2 linked regions of the Danio rerio genome follow. The protein of the gene in region 2 purifies or fractionates together with the protein of the main gene of each other region. This does not show direct contact. Links are inferred from orthologs where the notes say so. Each region holds a gene or a part of one and is shown on either strand. Other genes may lie near its edges.

Region 1 (10,670 bases), on a different chromosome or scaffold from region 2:
CGCACTCCATCAAAGTGGCTACGCAGGGTATATTTGGGATTCCATGTCTTCCTGAATGCATCCTTATTGGCTGGCAGCTAAAAATAGGGGGGCATTTTAAAGGCATTGGAATAACTGTGAAATGATTGATTCATTAAGGATTGACAGTAAGAGAATAGGATAGCTGTCCTATCTGAGTACACAGCAAAGCACACCAGGCATGAACAACTGATGTTCTCTGTAACCTTTATACAGAATGAAACTAATATAGTACAAGACATTTGAGTAAACATGATGGGCTTTGTTTTGTGTAACAATTAACTGATAGTTAAACAATACTGCATTTAAAAATTAAGCAGGGGATCAGACAGTGTTTTTCAAGTCGATGCTATTATTTATTAATGCCAGTGTAAAGTATTATTAAAGCAGAGGAGCAGTCTGGGTACTTACATCATAGCTGTATTCAGCCTCGTCATTGGAAACAGTCAGATCGGCGAGGTCTCCCAGGCCCAGCACACTTTCCAACATGTCATCAGAACCCATGATAAAGGACTTGCCCCCACCAGGCGTGAATGGCAGAGGCTCAGCTAAGAATAGAAAATAGAAGAGAAGGGCCCAGTAAACAAGGCGCCACACCTTGGAGTGGAAAACGGGGCTTAAGCAATACAGTAATATGTTTTATAGCAGTTAACAGCTTAATAAATCTGTAAGCCACTGGTAAGAGGCAATTAGGGGTCGATTAGAGATAGATGAGATCCATTTCTTGTTACCCAGTGTTTTAACCTAACACTTTTGTCCACTTCCCTATTTTTTTGTGGTGAAGGTAATGGGTGGATATATCTATGGTCTTTTTATAATCTTTGGGAGTATGATCTACCATCCTCTAACAGTGTAAAATAAGCAAGCCAAGGGTACAATGGATAACAATAGAGAAAGTTGAAGCTTCCATTTTTCTGCCACTTTTGAAATGGTTAAAAGTAAAAAATAAAAAAAAAATAAAAAAAGCTAGCTTTGAGCATGCAATTGTAATGAGCTCAACAAAAAACAGAGCCTAACACAAAAATGGATTCTAAAGTGTCATTTACACAAATACAATTCTTTTTAAAACCAAGTTGTTACAGTTACATTGATGGCAGATCAATGATAAGGCGAAATAACCTACTGTAACATCTGCAATTATATAAAATAAATAAATGCAACATGCATGAAAACATACAAACCAAGTCTCCGATATGTTACTCATTAAAAAATAACGGCACACAGCATACATTTCCTTATTTGGGGTTCAAAAACAACACACAATATAGCCCAAAGTCAGTGCAGACCTCTCAACTGCATATTCAATCTTCACTAGCACATGTAGCCTCTGTTAGAAAGTAATTCCATCATTTAGAGTTCTTAATAGTTGAGAAGGCAATGATAATAGGTAAACATGGCAGTTTAAAAAAAAAAAAAAAAAGCTTCCTTTGTTTTCATTCACCTGGCTTGCACATGAGCTAGTGATGCTTCTCTGTAAACCAATAGCGTTCAGCTGTGCGTCTTGCTCCACCTTTTGTAACCCATTTGTTGTGATAGGTAACCTTCCAAAAGGGTACCTAAAAAGTGGTACGCTACGGTTTGCTCGTTGGTACTTTTTGACAGTGGAAATGGCCATAAAAGCATACCGAATCATACCGAATCATACCATACCGGACCGTAACAATCAGTGGAAATGAGCTGCTAGTATCCACACTACTTAATCATTTTTGACCAATAAAAACTTGCCCGGCTATCCACAATCACTTATTTTTACTGTGAACGTAAATATAAAAATAAAAAACATATTTACAAACTCTATTCAAGTAACATTCATATGTGGTTTGAAATGCTACTTAAATAACATTTCTTCTGGAAATCTGTTTTAGTTTGACCGTTCTTTCCCTTTTACTCATTTAACTTCCTTATGTCAGACACTGTTTGTAAAAAAAAAAAAAACATCCTTTTTTCTGAAGGACAATCTTGCTTGTACAAACCTGCTTGTACAATCTGTAGCCAAATATTCCTTACAAATTCTTTCTGAACAACTGCTTTAGAGAGGTTTATGTTTCCGGCTTAATTTACTTTAGAGGTGTTAGGTGCATGCATGTCTTATTAATGAAGCCGCAATGGGTGTGACGAATTAAAAGAAAGAATTATGATACACCTGGACCTGGAGTTAAAATGCTCACTTTGAAAAGGTAACTTTGCTTGCAAACTTTTGGAATGAAGAAACGTTCAGAAACAAAAGTCTGGGTTAATCAACAGAGTTTATGTTTCAGGAATACACCACGTATTGATCAAATGTTTAAATGTAATAAACATCCCAATTTAGGGGTGACACTTCACACATAATTATGCTACTTTATCAAAAATGCATACTCTATAGTAAGATTTACATAATCCTTAGCTTAGAAATAGGTCAAAGAGAAGTGAGTAAGATAAAAAGAGTGAGAGATACAAAAAGAAAAAGCACGGCTGCGGGATGGATGTAATGAGCTGATGTGTTTGACCCAGCTGGCTCTGGTCGGAGCAGTAAGAGAATCTCCTGGCAGGAATGCTGATGCAGCAACTGGCCTCGTTAAGATTCTACTGCAGGGCCGGTGTGTGCCACAATCACATGCAAGGAACACACATGCCCATACAGACACAGATTCATATAGTTCATTATGTTTTCACATTTATGCAGTCTCTTTTCTTTAATTAAAAGACTAGCAAACTTGCATAATGTCAAAACAGCTCATTTCCATACACTAAACATTAATGCTAATGTTTACTAATGGACTATCATCATCACCTGTATGTTCCAAGCTTTGTAAGACCACAAAAAGTCAAAATCAACAATGTCATATTTGGGGCAATAAAAAAATTATATTCTTTATTAACACATCAATATGTTTTATTTACTTCTAAAGGATCATGTGACAAGTAATGGCTGCTGAAAATCTGTTGTCATAAAAAAAAAAAACAATTATAGCATCACTATGGTGCTATGATGTCCTGTTTAGAAGTCTTCAATATAAACCACTTTTGATTTGACCAATCACAAATAAATGAACATTCTAAAATCTAATATAAAAAACAGAGCTGGATCAACACTAGGCTGGGTTGATAATAAATAGTTCTTGTTTGGATGAACCTTTAAATTTCAGTCCATATTTCAATACTACACACTAATAAGGATGTCCTGCTTAATAATCAAACACTCAAATCCTGTAAGAATATTAAGAGATGTGCCCTGTTTCATCACTTGACAATTATTATGTATTTCAAAATATAAGACATTTTTTCATTTAAAAAGGATGCAACCTAAACTCCAAAGTGACTTAATGGAATTAGTATGAGGTGAGCAAAACAAATGCATTGGTGGATTGGTGATGAATGAGACACACAACTATTTAGATTATAGCACATATTTTATATATATATATATATATATATATATATATATATATATATATATATATATATATATATATATATATATATATATATATATATATATAATAATGCTAATCATTTCAGTTTTGCTTTGAATAAACAAGTTTAGACTTGACATTTATATTGAATTATGCTTTCAGCCACTGACATAACAACTGCTTTTTATTCTTGATAGTTTTTTCATACCTATTGTTCCTTTTCTGTACTGAGCACTATTAAAAAGATTTGTTGTAGAGTGACATAGTAGAATATACGTTTATAATGTCTGTAGGCATTTCAGTTTATTTAGGGCTACTGGCAGCCAATTTCATACTACTTTGGAATGAATTATAGACTTGCACACCAATGTGACCTGTGTTTTTCACTCAATAACACAAATTATACTCAGTCACACTTAGTGGCTCTTTATGCGACAACAATTTCAGCCAATATCTCAAAACGTTTGAAGTATTTTGCTTGTTCGTTTAGCATTTCTGTGACATTACCTGCATAAATATGAAAATGGATTTCAAAGTTAAAGTTATTAAGAACATTGTCGCCTTTTTTTCAATAACTATTTTTTTGGGGCTTACACAATGACGTCATGTGTGTGCACATTTAGGGAGATGCAGATTAAAGGCAAGCCCAAATAAACACACAACAGTGGCACAGTACATGCTAGTGTTGTTGATGCTCAACTGTTGGCTAATGCTTCAGGAGCAAGGTGTGGATTTACTTTGCATTACAAGCAACAGCATAGACGCATCTTACACACTTTGAATTCTACATAAACATCAGCGCAGAGCCGCCAACTGAACATCATTCCTTCCTTGGGGTACTATTTTCTAACAAGTAGGGCTGAACAATATACCGCTTGCGCATTGATTTCGCAATGTGTTTTTCCACAATAGTCACATCGCAGTATTCAATTGATTAAATATCAAAATATAAAGAAAATGCTGAATATAATTTTTATATTATTGCATACAAGGTTTAAACAATGATTTGTACAATATTTTTGTATGGTTTTGTATTTGAATACTGTTAGACTCCACAAAAAAAGCACTGTTTATTAAACTTTTATTTTTACTCTGTCATATTTAGACACACTGCATAGAAATAGATTTGATCACCTCAGTCAATCTCAAAGAATGACATCTTTCCAAATAGGTTGGAGCTATTCAGTGAATCTAGTGATTATATTCATAACGCAATATTATATCGCAGCAAAACTAAATATTGCCATATCAGTTTTTTTAACATTATGCAGCCCTACTAACAAGGTGAAAACATCAAATACTGCTCTGCCAAATATAAATCAGTGTTTTAGGACATTTTCATAAATGTATTTTGAAAAAGATATGTAAATGTGAAACTTTTTTTTAATGCAAGTAAAAAAAGTTTTCAGTTTTTGGTTACATTGTTGACAAGAAAATGTAGCCTTAAGTCACTTTTTCACTGTGTGGTTAAAAAAAAGCAAAGTGGATGAGATTATACGTTTTTTTGCACCGCATCTACTAAAATGTAACCTAATTCCTGGTTGCCACATCCAGATCACACTGGATCTGCTTCTTGAATATCAACATGAGGAACGTCTGCACCTTCTCTACTGACCATGATACAGCCATTAGAAGATGCGTGTCAGTCATTGAAAATAATCCCACAGCGGCTGATGCTGACTATTTATTTACATCTTGCAGGTTTGTTGTGTCGTGTTACAATGACGCAGGTAGTGACGATTCTCTCTTTTAGTTTCTGCACAGCTCACTTCAAAACTCAACAGAGGTATACCAGGTACTCTGCACAGTGCAAATCTCCCAAAAGTGTGATGTACCATAGTAAAGCAGCATTAAAGTAAAAAGCAAACTATTTACCCCACTCTGTGCCGTCTCCAGAACTCCGAGCTTCCCCAGCACCTTCTCCATCCTCCGCATTCACCAAAAAGTCAAACTCTTTGAGTGCGTCCTCTGTGTCAGGGTCATCCGGCAAGTCTGAAGCCAATCCTTCATTTCCGACCTGGAAAAGTAGTCAAGACTACAACACATGAACTTCTATATCCTGAGAATGACTACTTTGAGATCATTGACATGTAAAATATCCTGGTTACACACCTTAATCTTATGTTTTTTTATTCTGCGTTTATCGCTCCTGTCAGGCACATCCTCCATTATATCACCCTCATCATCATCTTCTTCATCACTATCATCAGCGTTTTCTAAAAAATTAAATGTCTCCAGAACTTCTGGATTCCTGTTAAACAAAAGGCATCACAGACAACGTTAAGAAATCTCATTTAATTGTTTATATGAATTTACCAGTTGCATCAAATCAAATCAATCAACACCTTTTCATGTCTTGTCCCTTTCTTTTGGCTGGAGATTCGCCTCCATTTAGAATTTGTTCTAGGTTCTTGGTTTCCACGGAACCATTCTGCTCTGAGCCGGACAGTCCTAGTAATGACCGCACTCGCTGCGTCCGGACGTCCAGTATTGTGTCCGTATAACCTACTTCCTGAAGATATCTTGAAAAGACAGATGCGTAAAGTCGGTCAGAACAGAGCCGGTGATATAAATAGTGATAACGTGACAACACAGATGCCTATGAACTTTCTTAGCAGAACTGAAATGCACGCACACACGGAATGCACAAGCGTCATTAGGAAAAGTATAATGACTCAAGGCTAACTTACTGTCTGAGAAGTTGCCTGCCCTGTTTCCACGTTAACTGGCTATTCTGTGGTATAGCTGAGACCTCTGTATCTTTGGTATCTTCTTTATGAAACAGAAAAATACAAAAGTTTAATAAAACACATGGCAAAACTTTATTTTGATGGTCCCTATTGCACATTTTATTGACTAAAAGTTGCATTTCAACTACATGTCAATTACATCTCATTTGAGTATTAGTAGACTTTCAGCTTAATATCTGCTGATTCTGCTCCATCAACACATTTAACTGACTATTTGAAACTTTACAAGTACATGTCAAATTACACTAACCGTAACCCTAACCCCAACCTAACACTACTTATAACCTATTGAGAATTAGTTGGCATATAGATGCAATGCAACTTAAATTCAACAAAATGCATTAAAGGGACCATCAAAATAAAGTGATAACAAACACATTTGAGATTCCAGAACAAAAAAATACATGCATACAACCATTAAAATGTTTCTGGATATTCCGTTAGAAAAAATTATTTTCAGATTGAGGATGAAATGGTTTTGAAGGACTGAAGTGGTTGATTAAAACAAAGTCACATTTATTTGGAGATTCTCTGATGGGTCAATTTGATTGCTCAGCTTGACATAACAAGGTCAAACTACAACAGTTAAATGTGTGGACTTTATGGGTAGGTCTAATGTCTATTGCTTTTATATGAAACAACTAGAAAGTCTCAACCTTCAAATTTTGTTGATTTTAATCAGAAAATTTAAAATTTATAAAAATGTAAAACAGTGATAAACATTAACATAAAACGTCTTTAGGTTTCCAACCAAGTGCATCCCTAATATTAATCACTAATATTACTGTTAGTAAAAGTACTGTTAGTTTTCAAAAGCTGTTAGCTATCAAACATAAATAGATTACAAATGTATCATACTTTATATCTGGTTAAACTAGTAATAGTAACATTTTTAATAATAATAATGATAATAATAATAACATGACTGAAGAATGTATGCTGAAAAATTAAACTTTAACAGAAATACATTATATATACATTTAATATTTCAAATAGATCCATTTCACATTTTTTGGTTTCTAAGTAGCAGAAGTCATCATAGTTAGGTAAACTTAGTGCACAGTGAATGGAGAGTACAACAATTTTAACTTTTTTTACAATCCTATTTGCTGAAATCTCAAAAGAAAAACACCACAATGGTGTTATGAAGACTTTCAGAAAAAGAAAAAAAAAAGTGTGATACTAATAACAGCCAGAAGAAAGAACAACATTAAATTTACTGTCCTGTCCATAGATGCTGCATTACAAACACCTTGCACTATCAGCATTTCGTTTTTTGTAATTTCATGCAAAGAAGATATAATAAAGATGTAAAAACATAAATATACATACGTTTAAAAAAAATAAAAATATTGAAAAACTTTCAAGAATTTAAGATTATGATGACTGTTAAAAGCGTCATAACACTCTTGTGAAAAGGTCCATTGTAAAAAAAAATATATAATAGATATCAGACTGTATTGTATATTACAGGGTTCCCATGCTTTCGTGAACAGCAAATTCAAGACTCTTAAGGACTTTTTAAAGCACCATTAATTTTAAATCAAGCACTTTGTAATTCACACTCCAGCATATGAAAGGCCTTCCTGTGCTTAACATTTCATTTACACCTAATATTTACATTAAAACCATTTTTTGACCGATTAAAAAATCCTGTTTAAAGAACTTTAACAAAATTTGTTGAATTCAATATTGGTGACATTCAAATGCGGTTTCTGAAATGTTGGTAAAATGTGCATTATTTGTCAGTGCTATTGTACAAGAATAAATGTACATTTTTAAAATAATTTCTGTTTTTATCATTCTTTTTTGACAATTGAGTACAATTGTTAAAATAAAACCATAAACTAATGTCATTTCAAATATAATTTAAACACTTTCAAGGACCTTCATTTTTTTAAAGTACTTTACAGACCTTGAAACTATATGTCTGAAATTCAAGTCCTTTCAAGAAGGGTGTGAACCCTGATATTATACACTTTAAAAATAGGTTGGGTCCTCTTACCTGATTCAAAGCTAGGCATTTTCACTTCACCTTGATTAAGTTCTGTCCCATATTTTAATTTATGGTATTTTGCTCTAGAAATGAAAGACAGAATCTTTGTTAAAAATACAGGCATACATAAACTAACACACACACACATACATGCATAAGCTTTTTAATATAAATATGAAAATAGCTTTACTTTGATCAACATTTTCTTTTACAATAACTAATGTTACAAAAAAGAATCACAAACCTTTCTTGCTTTAATGCATATTCTAACATTTTTATTCTTCTAACAAGGTCATTCTTTAAATTTTCCTGCCCCTTCCTTTCTCCTTGGAGGAATGCTATTCGGGCCTGCAACACAGAAACAGACGTCATGATGAGAACACGTGAAATAGAGGTTAAACCAGAGCATATAAATTTTAGCTGAGATGTCAACTTGTGAAATGTTCGAAATGAGAGAACAAATTTGGAACAGACATGCTCTTGCTGACATCACACATACACACACACACACACAAAATCACGCGTTTGTGAACGAATCATTTGCTTGGTGAACTTGGCGAATCAATTTGATTTAAATCAATAACCATGATTTGACTGGATTGAAATCATTTCATCTCATTTTCTTAAGAGGAACCAACACAAGCCACTGGAAGGCAGTGGCCCAGAGGAACTGAGCTCTAAAGAGCAGGTTAACATTAGCAAATGAGAGCAGCTGTGCAACTTGACCCCTCTTAAAGGCCAGGAAGTGAATGAGAGGAGGCAAGGGGAGGGGTATTTATAGACAACCAAACCCTCAGCCTTCCTGGAGGAACAAGAGCTCCTGCAGACTCTCATGACAACCTTACTTGTTTGGCAGGTAATCTAGCAGAGGAAATCCTGTGTGCTTTTGGTAAAAACCGTGAAGGTAAAGTGAGTTGTCCACAACAATTCAATGGTGTAATATTATTGTTAAATGAAAATATACAGTACATAGTACATAGACCTCCTAAAATGTACTAATTAGAACCCAAGTTTTAATTCCCATAAAAAAAACAGCATAGCAAGCAGGACAGCGAGACGCCAGTCCATTGATCGAGTCAACACTACCTTCACCTTATGTTCTAAAGTATTTAATGGTCAAGCTCAAATATCTGATCAGCAAAAGCCCAATGAGCATTGTGTAATACTGTTCAAACATAAAAACACATCCCCTCAGATGATCAATATAGGAACTGGCAGAATAACATGGGCTGTTGACCAATAAAACATGTAACGTCACTTGATTGATACATCATTAACAATAGTTGCATAATGCAAACATTTGGGGAAAGAGCAATTGTGCAGAGCACTGATTTGGGGGAAAAGATAAACATGCAATATATTGGCTACTTTCGATTTTTCAATTTAGTGCAAGTGGTTGATATTAAATATTTAAATCATGTAGCGATGGACAGAACTGGCAATGGACTTCTTAACTGTGAGAAATGTCTAACTGAAACTGCTATATTTGTGCAAAACACTTAAATAATAATGTTTTTACCATGACTTAAATACTTATACACTTGTGCCATCATCACTACTGTATCATTAAATGTGAATCTCGGTGCCAAAATTCTTTTTAAACCACTTTATTGTTCATTGACTACTTTAATTATGTTATTCTTGGATTTGTCTCATCCATGTGTAAACACTGAGCAAACAGGGAATTATCAAAAATTTGAGTATAGTTTGCTCAAATCCGTCAGTCACTTTCCAGCTAAACCAATAGCAAGTATTTGAGGCGTGGCTACTGTAGTAGACAAAAGAAACTCAATTTACAAACAGAAATGCAAGTGAAAATTCAAAGAATTGCCAAAAGATTCAGAGACTGTGAGGCAAAACAAAGGTAAACACTAGGTCTGCACGATATTGGAAAAATCTGACATTGCAATGTTTTCTTTTTCTACATTATATATATATTGCGATATGAATACAATATCAGCAGATGATTTGAAAAGCTCTATTTGAAATAAAATCATTCGTTTAGATTAACTGGAATAATCTTGAATAAAAATAAAAACTTCAAGCATAAAGAGATGGAGCAAAAATAAAAGTGAAATAAGTATTCAGATATTCAGGTACAGTAATATGACACGATACAATATTATCATGGTATTTTGCCCTCGGTAATGATAAATCAAGATACCTGCAATATACCACAAGAAAACCATTTACAATATATCGCGAAATCTGTAAGTGAAGGGGAAAATGCATCAAAAACTTATAAGATGCATTTCTTTTATTTGTAGCATTTATAGAGTTGGATCATTGGTGTGTTTTCTATCCTCCGTTACGAGAATACATGGTAGTATATGTTAGGGCTGGGCGATATGGCAAAAAAAAAAATCTAGGTTTTTTATAAGGTTTGACTGATTTACGATTTCGATTTTTTTAATTGTGTAACAAGTCAACTTAAAACATTACATTAAAATGACTGAAGTAACACTCTTTATAAGTAACTTGAAAAACCATCTGGTCAAGGAACATTGTATT
Region 2 (11,281 bases):
ACCACCAATACTGCATGTTTTTGGATGTCTCCTTTGTCTGTCACACCCATTACAGGTCTTTGAGTCTCTGCTAATGAGCTGATGATCTGAATCAGGTGTGTTTGGATAAGGAGACATGGAAAATGTGCAGAGCTTGTGGTCCTCCAGAAACATGGTTGAGAAACACTGCTCTGAAGGATTTCTCAGCATATCAAGCAATGAAGTTACATGCCAACACACATGAAACCAAGCAAAATGGACATGCTGTTTTTGTTTTGGTCCCAAAATATAATATTAGCATGGATTACGAAATACATATGACCAATTAATCAAGCCATGTGAGGAAAGCAATAAGGCATTAAAGTAGGAACTCCAGTTTCCTCTAGGATTTTTTTCCAGCTGTGGAGGCAGATCTTTTTTTTTTACACAGATCAACCAACTACCTATAGCATAATTTGTCAATGACAAAGGTTGTGAGCGCAGTATCACAAGTCGAGATCACATTTATGTAATAGTCTACAAGAATGCAAATCTCTTTGCTTACGCGGCGATTTCCTCGGCTCGTGCACAAAACTTCTTGCACGGCCTCAAATATAAGCTGCTCAAGCGCAGATCTTCTTGTGCGCTCTCAAATAAACGCTGCTGAAGTGCAATTTAGTTTGTTTATGTAACGACTATGTCTCCAACATTTATTAGATATGCTAGGAATATTTATGAATGTCTCCAATAGACCTACAGAGCGATATTATTGTGTCCTGAAGTAAAGTGAAACATCTATACGTCGTGTTTGCTGGCCTCACACAGCAAGCACCTGTCAGTCAGTCAGCACGTCACCTTAAAGGGTTAAACAAATGACGCACATCATTACTACGGTTACAGAAAAGTTTGCGCTGTTATAATTCACTTACCTTTTAATATGTTTTGGTGCGATTATTATCCGCTATTAAAAAAAACACGACTGGATGTTTTGAATGAGAAGCTGTAATGTAGCCGTGGCTTAATTATATAAATTATTTTTGTTTGTACACATTGTTATAATGTCTAACTGGTTTTATGCAACAGTAAAACATGGCTTTTAACTTTGTTGTAGGGCTGCATGATTAATCAAAAAAAGATTGCAAACTCGATTCACTTAATTCAGCTTTTCTTCAATTTAGACATTTATATTTTCAAGGTCAGGAGAGAAGTGTAAAGAGTCTTTAAATTGTTTTATATACGTTACGCAGCAACATGGACACCTCCAAATTGCATTAAAAGTGTCACATACTGTATTCATAAGGTATAATTCACACAAAAAGTCATTTCTGTCTTAATGTAATGATGGAAGCTAATCACGGCGGCGAAATCACAAGCTGACGCAGTTTGTTTACTACCAAGAGGATGCGAGCGTGCCCATCAATGACATCTACTTTAGTGAACAAAACCTGCATAGGCTGTAAATAACAGCTAATAAAGCTGAAAAATAACTTTCGGTTTGTATGGTTTGCATGTATGTTTTTTTTTTCTCAAAGTGACGACAGCCATGACATGAGTGCACTCGGCAGTGAAAGTGAAACTGAAAGTATTCACATCATTTAAACGATCATATCGCATTTCACAGTTATGATTACAACAAGCACTGGATATGTTTTTTCTTTCATAGCGAAGTGTTGTGCATGGCTGCATACAAATACATTTTAACAGGGTCGGTATAACTACTCTAGCCTATATAATGTTGAGCATTATGCATGAAGAAAATCTGATAATGCTGCCTGATCATACGGGAAAAAACATAAGTATTTTACGTTGTCAATTTAGTGGCTAATTTGTATGAATTCGTAAGAGTTCAGTCGTACAAAATTGTACGATTTTAAAAAGGAGGCGTGGCACCCAACCCCACCCTTAAACCCAACCATCAGTATGGGATAAGCAAATCATAGGAATTAGATCATACAAACTCATACGAATTAGCCACTAAATCAAAAAGTTACGAATTGCCATGAGATTGTGTCGGATAATGACAAATGTTTCATTATAACAGTAAAATAAAATGGTCTAATAATGTTGTCAATGACAAGCATATGTCTCAATAATTTAACATCAGAATTATGAATAGTTGTATTCTTATGTCATCACTTTACTGTGAATTAACAAACAGGATATCTCTCTAAGTCTATATCAAATTTAGCCTTTTAATCAACAGTAGACCCACACACAGGCCTAATATTATTATTGTTGTTTTATAATATTTCTGGGAAATAACAATGACATTAGCCTACTTATATCAACAATTATTTTATCTACAGAATCGCGAGAAAATCATGATCTTTATTTAAAGCAAAAACAAATCATGACTCTCATTTTAGCCAGAATCATGCAGCCTGACTTTGTTATCCTAATGCTTTCCTTTTTCTGAAATTACATAAAACCTTTTGGTTATAACATTTTTACAATAATGTATCTGATATTACACACTGCATTATTTAGCATGCTATCGCATATCTCATTTTTCAACATTGCACAGCCCTACTGGGTATGTCCATGGATACTGCATAGTGAAACATGTTCTGCTCCTTTCAACAGGATTATTTTACACTTTCATTCACACATGATGCTGTGGGAGACGCAATAATAATGCGAGTACCAGGAAGCTAAAAAAAAAAAAAAAAACCTGGACATCCAATTACACAAGCCAGACTAGAGAGTCAGAATTAACAGCCATAAATTTTTACATAAACACATGCAGCATATAGATGCCACAACAATATTTCACTACAGTTTACTAAACACAATCCAGCAACGTCACGCATGTTAGCCGCAGAGTTTATTTGATGCTGTAAAAAGGCTTGTACCTTCCTGACAGATATTATGAGACAACACGACTGTGACAGACAGCATGTAATGGCAAACATTCAGGTCATAGCCGCCATGTCTCAAAATCATCACAATATAGATAACAGATGCCTGAATTAAGATTATCAGGTCAAATCTGATCAATTGTGAAAATTCAATTCTACCATAAATGTCCAAAAGTGTGTCTGAAAGATACTGGTATACAAACAAAGTCATGAACACCCGTTTTAAAGTGAATTGTTTTAAAACTCACTTTAATATGTTAGAGTTGGATATAATGCAACATACTTTGTGTGCGCACCTGACCTGAACCCTTACATTTTGGAATCTTCAAAGCTAGAAATTGGCCATTTCTACAGAACAAAATTAATAAAGGTGAAAAAACATCTGATCAAAGCAACATGGAAGTTTTTGCATAAGCACTCCGATGTTGTAGAATTTACTAAACAGCAGAAGTTAACTAAAGAAGATTTACACCTCAATAAAACTGGTGTCAAGCACACTACATGGTACGTCACTGCCAATGACCACTGGAAGGTCATAGAGGTTTTAAAAGCCCATCGAGCCTAAGTACGCTTGGGGCTTCGGCAAACTGCAAATTCCAATGGTCTCAAACTCAATTCCTGGAGGGCCGCAGCTCTGCATAGTTTAGCTCCAACCACCTCCAACTCACATCTGCTTAATAGTCTCTAGTAATCTTGAACACCTTGATTATTTGAATCGGCTGTGTTTGATTGGGGTTGGATCAAAACTGTGCAGATCTGTGGCCCTCCAGGAATCGAGTTTGAGACCTATGGCATATTCATATAATTATTGTCAATATTATACATACTTTTGTTACTATTTTTTTTTTTACCAAATTACAAAATAAAGTTGTTATTAAATATATTTGTTACTAAATATTAATTTCATAAAATGAATTACTTTATGTTCTTGGTATTTACACACATTAAAGCCGGGGTGTCAAATTCATTTCCGGGAGGGCCCCAGTCCGGCACAGTTTAGTTTCGGCCTCACTGCACTTTTCTCCCCATAGACTTCAATTTATACACACACGAATGCGTCAGACTGGAAACGCAAGCTTATGTGAAAAGTTTAGCAGTTCGCTACATTGGAAAGTTCAAGCTTGGTGAGCTCTGACCTGCGAAATCACATCACATGATGGCGTGAGACCAATTGAAGTTGAAAACATGACCTCTCTGGACAGAAAATTAATATATGGACCTATCGCTCCCTTTTTTTTAAATGTCTAACCATCTTTTTTAATCCTATTCGCAGCGCCGTACAACAGAATTACGCACGCACAAACTCTAGCGTGACCGCAGTATTACCTTTAGGTTTCAAACAAGCCTGAAGGACTTAACTAAAAAATTAGTTGGATTAGGTGTGTTTAATTAGGGTTGGAACTAAATTGTGCAGAGCTGTGGCCCTCCAGGAGTTTGACACAATGCATTAAAGGGACAGTTCACCATTTACTTTATAAATTTCTTCTCTTAAACATAAAACAAGATTTTCTAAAGAATATTCAGCCATTGACATAAAAAACAGCTATTGACATCCATAGTATAAATGTAAAAATACTAAAGTCAGTTGCTTTCTCTGACATTCTTCAATAAACCTTTCTTTCTGTTCAAAAGAAGAAACAAACTCAGTTTTAGAGCAAGTGGACTTTCATGGCAGAATTTACATTTTTTATGTGAACTATCCCTTTAAAAGCTCATTGAAATAGTGTTTTTTTTTGCTCATTGAATCTTTGGATTAGTTTTAAGAAAAAGCTAATATATTTACTATATAACACAGGGGTGTCAATTTCAGTTCCTGGAGGGACGTTGACCTGCAGTCTAGTTCCAAACCTGCTTCAACACTCTTACCTGTGTGTTTCAAACAAGCCTAAAGAATTCAATTAGTTTCATCAGGTGTGTTTAATTAGGGTTGCACTAAACTGTGCAGAGCTGCGGCCCTCAAGGAACTGAGTTTGACACCTGTGATCTAATGCAGTGTTTCTCAACCACATTACTGGAGGACCACCAGCTCTGCACATGTTCCTAGACTGTCTCTTAATTCCTAGAACGCTGAGAACAGAGAACGCATCCTGTGAGAAATGAGATGCTGTGTTCTTCCCTGGGTCTTCCTGATGGTGACGTGACCTTCACATGTTTTTAATGGAATATGGTTTAAACATTACAGCATTCCTACAACAACGATTTATTGTTTTCCCCCATACATAATATATACCATGCATAAAAAAAACGTACAAATATATGCTTCACAATACAAATAAAACTAATTTTAACACGAATTTCAACAAGTAAACACCCTTTATGTGCTTATGCCATTATTATGATTTACATGGTAATGTTTAAATTCACCGTCTCATTTAGGGAAACTCCTGAAGTAAATAAGTTACATCTCTAAACTTTAATAATAAATCTAAATAAAATGCTGCGCTTCCCACCTCCTTCATACAGCCACAACGACTTCTAGGACTTCTCAAGCAAGTTTTGTGCTCAAGTCTGCATCGATGACTCTACGATATCAAGAACACATCTGGCAACTTTCACGCGTCCTCCGTTCTTGCCGTCTTGAGTTTTGGAACTGAACATAGGCAGTTAATGACGACATTACAGAAGAACACGAGGACGCAGGATCGCTGAAAAACGCCTATTGAGAAACACCCCATGTTTCCTTAACCAAACACACCTGATTTAGATCATCAGCAGAGACTGAAAGACCTGTAATGAATGTAACAGATAAAGGAGACATCCAAAATATGCAGTGTTGGTGGTCCTACAGGAACGTGGTTGAGAAACACTGATCTAATGCAGTGGTATATTTAGCCATAAATTCCATCTTAATCTACTTTTGGGTGGGGATATTATCTATATAATCCTAGTACAGACAATTGTGACAACATTGACAGATAGATACAAAGAAAATCTTAATAATTCAAGAAAGATGGAGGTGGATATGTCAAACACTGAAAAAAATATTCATTGGACTTACTAACTTTTTTGAGGCAAGTGGTTGCAAACAATTTATATAGACTGAATTTAAACAAACTAAATGTAGTAACGTTTATTTGTTTAAATTCAGCTCATGCTAATTTTTGCAACCACTTACCTTAAAAAAAATAAGTACATCTAATGAATAATGTTTATAGTTAACATCCAATCTATTGGTGAAACATCAGACTTACCTTGCCTGTCTTGTGGTCGAACCATACCAGAGCGTGATTCCTCGACAACACTTTGCAGTCGAAGGTGGCGTTGTTTTGGGCAGGGCGACACCGGGCCACGGAGCGCCCGATCTTGACCGGCTCATCCAGGTAAACATGGCGTTCCTGAAACGGGTGTGAATTCGGGCGGCAGGAGAACACGGCCAGCGCTGAAGGCATTGAGGATGGCTTGGGAGTGTTACTCCAACCAGAGACGAAAGACAGGGTTTCTTGATCCAGACTGACCTGTTGCTCCAATTCTTCCTAATGAATGACCAGCAGACCAACGCACATAGTAATACGAAAAAAATTCCAACTCTACAAAAAGACCCCTGCTAAACCGACTACATAACGTCAACAAGACTGTATATTTATACACTATGTAGATGACTTCTTGCCCCCTTGCGAGACCCCCATGTTGCCGAACCAAACCCAATACAGCTGCCCAATTCCATACAAATCTGGGTGTCCAGATGACAGTCCACAATTCGAGCTGTTATACTTCGTTCCCAACACAATTCATCCTCGTCCCCCTTTACAAGCATAGGCCTGGCCAGTAAACAACCCAGCAACTAGTACACCAATAACCTGTTGAATTGGTCAACCTTTACTCCTAAAAAAAAAAAAGAAGTATTACTGTCAAGTTGACATGCGTGTCTATATTTAGAGGGAATGACTGCTAGGCACGAAATGCACTTGTGAAAATGTTAAACCGTAATGAAGATTAATAATAATGTGAGTGGGTTTGGCTGAAGTATGCAGAGCAGACCATCAAGCCACCACTCCCCAAGACAGAGTAATTAATATTGAAAAATACCTCAAATGCCTACTTAAACAGACTTCAAATGCAAGTATTTAGCTGTCAGGATTGTATACAAGAGCACAGCTCGCGCGGAGGGTGTTTTCTTGCGCACGAGAGCGTTAGCTGGCTAACTTCATATTAGCTTGTTAGCTTCGCTGAGGTAACACTGGCCTTCTACTTTCACCTTATCGAGCCGTCCAAGCTGGAAGAGACTTTATAAATAACCCCGAGCTGATTTATCCCCGAAAACCAGCTATTTGTTCGGTCTGTGGAACTTTCATGCGCGGAGAATTTGCGTAAATCCAGTATTAGCTCGCGAGCTCGGTAACTAGCTTAGCCTGCTGAGAGACACAAAAATTTCCCCAGAAAAGAAAGTCATACACGAATAAAGTCCATGACACGGTCCCGTGTTAAGCCATGGAGGTCTCCGCTTTTCGGAACGCTGAAATCGGGAGGGAAATCGTTGTGTGCGACGGGATAATTGGAAGTAAGTCGTCCTCTTGAAGAGATATACACACACATACACACCGGCCACAAACCGCCGCGGGGCTCGCGCACCACCGAGATATGGGGCGGGGCTTTGCGGTGACGCGAAAATGTAGGCGGATCCGCGTTTCCAGAGAAAAAGGATGACGTTTTTCATGCGGATTGAAAATAATGTTTGTTTGTTCATTTTTCGGATGCTATTTTTTTCTTTTGTAATAGCATTTCATTTACAATCAACAAGCAAGACAACAACAGGTAAAACAATTTGTTGAACAGACAAAAAAAGTATGGAGCCAGTCAGATCAGTCTCAAAAATAATACATGTACATAATAAAACTCCTCCATGCACAGCACAATTCACATTTACAACATCCAGTTTGTAAATTCAAAACACAACTTGTAAATACAACCAACAATTTGTAAATTCACAAGCAAAAATCATAAATACTTTCACCAAATTAATTAGATTTGTGTATTTTTGTATAGTGTTTTCAATTTACGAATTGGATTTGTGTATTTATGAATCACATTTTAAATTTACAAATTGAATTTGAGTAATTATAAATTGCATGTAAACTTATGAATTGGATTGAGTATTTTTGAATCGCGATTTGTATTTACGAATCTGATTTGTGTAAATGAATCGCATTTTCAGTTTATGAATTGGATTTGTGTATTTATGAATCGTGTTTTGAATTTACGAATTGGATTTGTGTATTTATGAATCATATTTTAAATTGACTAATTAGATTTGTGTATTTATGAACCACGTTTTGAATTTACCAATTGTATTTGTGTATTTATGAATCACGTTTTGAGTTGACGAATTGGATTTATGTATTTATGAATCACGTTTTGAATTTACGAATTGAATTTGTGTATGTATGAATCGCGTTTTGAATTGACGAATTGGATTTGTGTATTTATGAATCGCGTTTTGAACTCACAAATTAAATTTGTGTATTTATGAATCGCGTTTTGAACTTACGAATTAAATTTGTGTATTTATGAATCACATTTTAAATTTACCAATTGGATTTTTGTATTTATGAATCACGTTTTAAATTTACGAATTGTATTTGTGTATTTATGAATCGCATTTTGAGTTGACGGAATGTATTTGTGTATTTATGAATTACGTTTAGAATTTACGAATTGAATTTGTGTATTTATAAATCGTGTTTTGAATTGACAAGTTAGATTTGTGTATTTATGAGTCGCGTTTTGAATTGACGAATTGGATTTGTGTATTTATAAATCGCGATTTTAATTTATGGATTGGATTTGTGTATTTATGAATCATGTTTTCAATTTACAAGTTGGATTTGTTTATTAATGAATCTCGTTTAGAATTTATGAATTGGATTTTGTAACTGTAACTTGAGTTGTGAATATATGAATTATATTATTTAAATGTAATATTTTTGAGACCAATCTGGCTCTATAAAAAGGGCTCTAACAAATAAACACAACAAAGAACAACAAAAAAGTCATCATACAAATAAGAGATTCACATAAACAAATAAAAATTATAAACTAGTAAACAAACATATGGCCTGATAAACAAATACCATACTTTTTTAATTAAGATTTCCCATATACTTTTTAGTTCATACTTCTGTATATTTTTAAATGCATTTTTTCTGTCTTTATTTTTATAATTGTTTATTTCCACATCTATACCCATATTTACCTATACATGTACCTATATTATATCTATATTTTACCTATATATGTTTATTTTAACAGAATATTCTTGCATCAAATTGTCTATAATAAATGTTATTGTTGCATATAATGTAAATTCTAGATGATTTACATAAAGTTGCATTTTAAAAGAACATTGAAAGAGTTTCCAAGCCACTTTTCCTTTATCTCAAGATGGCAATTATTGAAAAAACAGACCACTTGGTGAACATAGACAGAGCAAAATGGATCCAAATCACCAGAATCAAAGCATTTTCAAGGTACATCTTCCGCTAGACTTTGAGTAAAATTCACATAAATGTATTTATAAATCATCTTTGGAAAGTATTTTAGTTTCAGGAAGAAGGAGAGGCTTTCAAAGCACACCCCGCCCCAAGTCCCTCTGTTTGGACTTGGAATCTGTGGACTAAATTGCACTGAACATCTGTCATACCAAATGGAGCATGCTGATTTGACTCTAATGTCTTGCTCAGACTAATCCAATTGTTTTGTCTCTTATGTGACCCATATGAAGTAATTAAGTGATCACTGTTGGAAAACCTATGAAAACAATAATGTGGCTCAATGATGCACCTGGGACATTATATGTTAAATGTCCATATATTAGACCGCAATATTAACTAGTCCCTGCTATGTTAATTTGATTGGAGACAACAGGGAGTCACCATGCAAGCGTGCCACAGAAATAAACAACCAATACTAAACAGGCCTTAATCAAACTGTATTTGACCTAAAATATATATTGTATTGGATTAAGTAAATTAAATTAGACATAATTATGCAACTTCACTGTAACATGAATTCCTCAATTACACAAATTGAAGGTATTCAGCTTGGTGGTGCATTTTTTTATTAGGCCCACTTGGAATCTGCGCACACAGAAATCTGCCGACTTCCGCAGATTTTTAGCCCATCATAGAGTTTATTTATTTACTTGTGTAAATGTTTGTACATTTATATTTATTCAGTTTTTAATTTACTTTTAGTAATGGTATTGACTAATATGAAGGTGTTAATTTGATTTATTAACAATACAGTTTGTAAAGTAATCTTGTCTTTTAGTAGATATATTATCTTTTAGTGGCGCAGTAGGTAGTGCTGTTGCCTCACAGCTAGAAGGTCGCTGGTTCGAACCTCGGCTTGGCGTTTCTGTGTGGAGTTTGCATGTTCTCCCTGCCTTCGCGTGGGTTTCCTCTGGGTGCTCCGGTTGCCCCCACAGTCAAAACACATGCGGTACAGGTGAATTGGGTAGGCTAAATTGTCCGTAGTGTATGAGTGTGTGTGTGTGAATGTGTTTGTGAATGTTTCCCAGAGATGGGTTGCCGCTGGAAGGGCATGCGCTGCGTAAAAACTTGCTGGATAAGTTGGCGGTTCATTCCACTGTGGCGACCCCGGATTAATAAAGGGACTAAGCCGACAAGAAAATGAATGAATAATACACTTGCCTTAAATACTGTACATAATTTCAACAGTTCTGTATAAATAAATTCTGAGAAGCAGAGTAATCGTATGTTTTATTATACACTCTCAGAAAAAAGGTACATGGTGGTAAAGAGCTCTTTATGATACTGTTCTGTACCTTTTATGGTACATTTGAAATGAATATACACACTTGTTCTCATACAAAAAGGTACATAAGAGTTAAACAGCTCCTTCTTTATTACAATATCTATGAAAATAAGTATGGCTGGAAAGGCAAAGTGATTTAATGAATAATTTTTTATATTAAAACATGAATCATCATTTAAAAGCAAATGTTTAAAAAACTCATAAACATTAATTATTAAGTTCTATAATACAAAACAACTGGTAAAACAAAACTATAGGTATTGTAAACTAAACATTTAAGGCATTTTTAATAAACATTTGGAGAGCATTTTCTGATAAACACAGTTTCATTATTGATATCTGCACCTTGTGGCGTTTGCTTTTCACTACACACCTGAGCTGGCAAAAGTCCTGCAAATGTGAAGTGTTCATGCTGACATTTTAGTAAACTAATCAAACATTGTGCATATCTCATTACAATACTCTATTTCTATTTTGAAATTAAGTAAATTAAATGAACTTTTAAGTGTTTACAAAGGTGTTGAGTGAAAATTGGAGAAAAAAGTTTTACATTGTACATGGGAGAATGAGTTTCTGTAACATTTTTGTGAAAAGTGCTGTGAAATATTTAGCAAAAAATAGATCTTTTGAATGATGTTTAAGTATTTTTTATTCTTTATTGTAAATGAAAAAAGGTGTATTTACACATAAAG

What was found. Proteins that work in one complex are often made in the same cells at the same time.
Region 1: the proteins of slmapa (region 2) and strn3 purify together in Homo sapiens (affinity purification with mass spectrometry; 5 studies listed by BioGRID and IntAct, with this or other methods). This does not show direct contact. The link is inferred for Danio rerio from reciprocal best matches to the Homo sapiens genes SLMAP and STRN3.

What each region holds. Positions count from the first base shown.
Region 1 is NC_133192.1:30,198,459-30,209,128, reverse strand, and holds part of strn3 (striatin-3), read right to left. Parts: intron 8,508-10,670; coding exon 8,404-8,507; intron 8,243-8,403; coding exon 8,169-8,242; intron 6,186-8,168; coding exon 6,104-6,185; intron 5,936-6,103; coding exon 5,759-5,935; intron 5,665-5,758; coding exon 5,526-5,664; intron 5,431-5,525; coding exon 5,289-5,430; intron 567-5,288; coding exon 430-566; intron 78-429; coding exon 1-77. UniProt on the Homo sapiens protein: Calmodulin-binding scaffolding protein which is the center of the striatin-interacting phosphatase and kinase (STRIPAK) complexes.
Region 2 is NC_133186.1:44,730,672-44,741,952, forward strand, and holds the start of slmapa (sarcolemma associated protein a), read right to left. Parts: upstream 7,397-11,281; 5' UTR 6,206-7,396; coding exon 6,008-6,205; intron 1-6,007. UniProt on the Homo sapiens protein: Associates with the striatin-interacting phosphatase and kinase (STRIPAK) core complex, forming the extended (SIKE1:SLMAP)STRIPAK complex.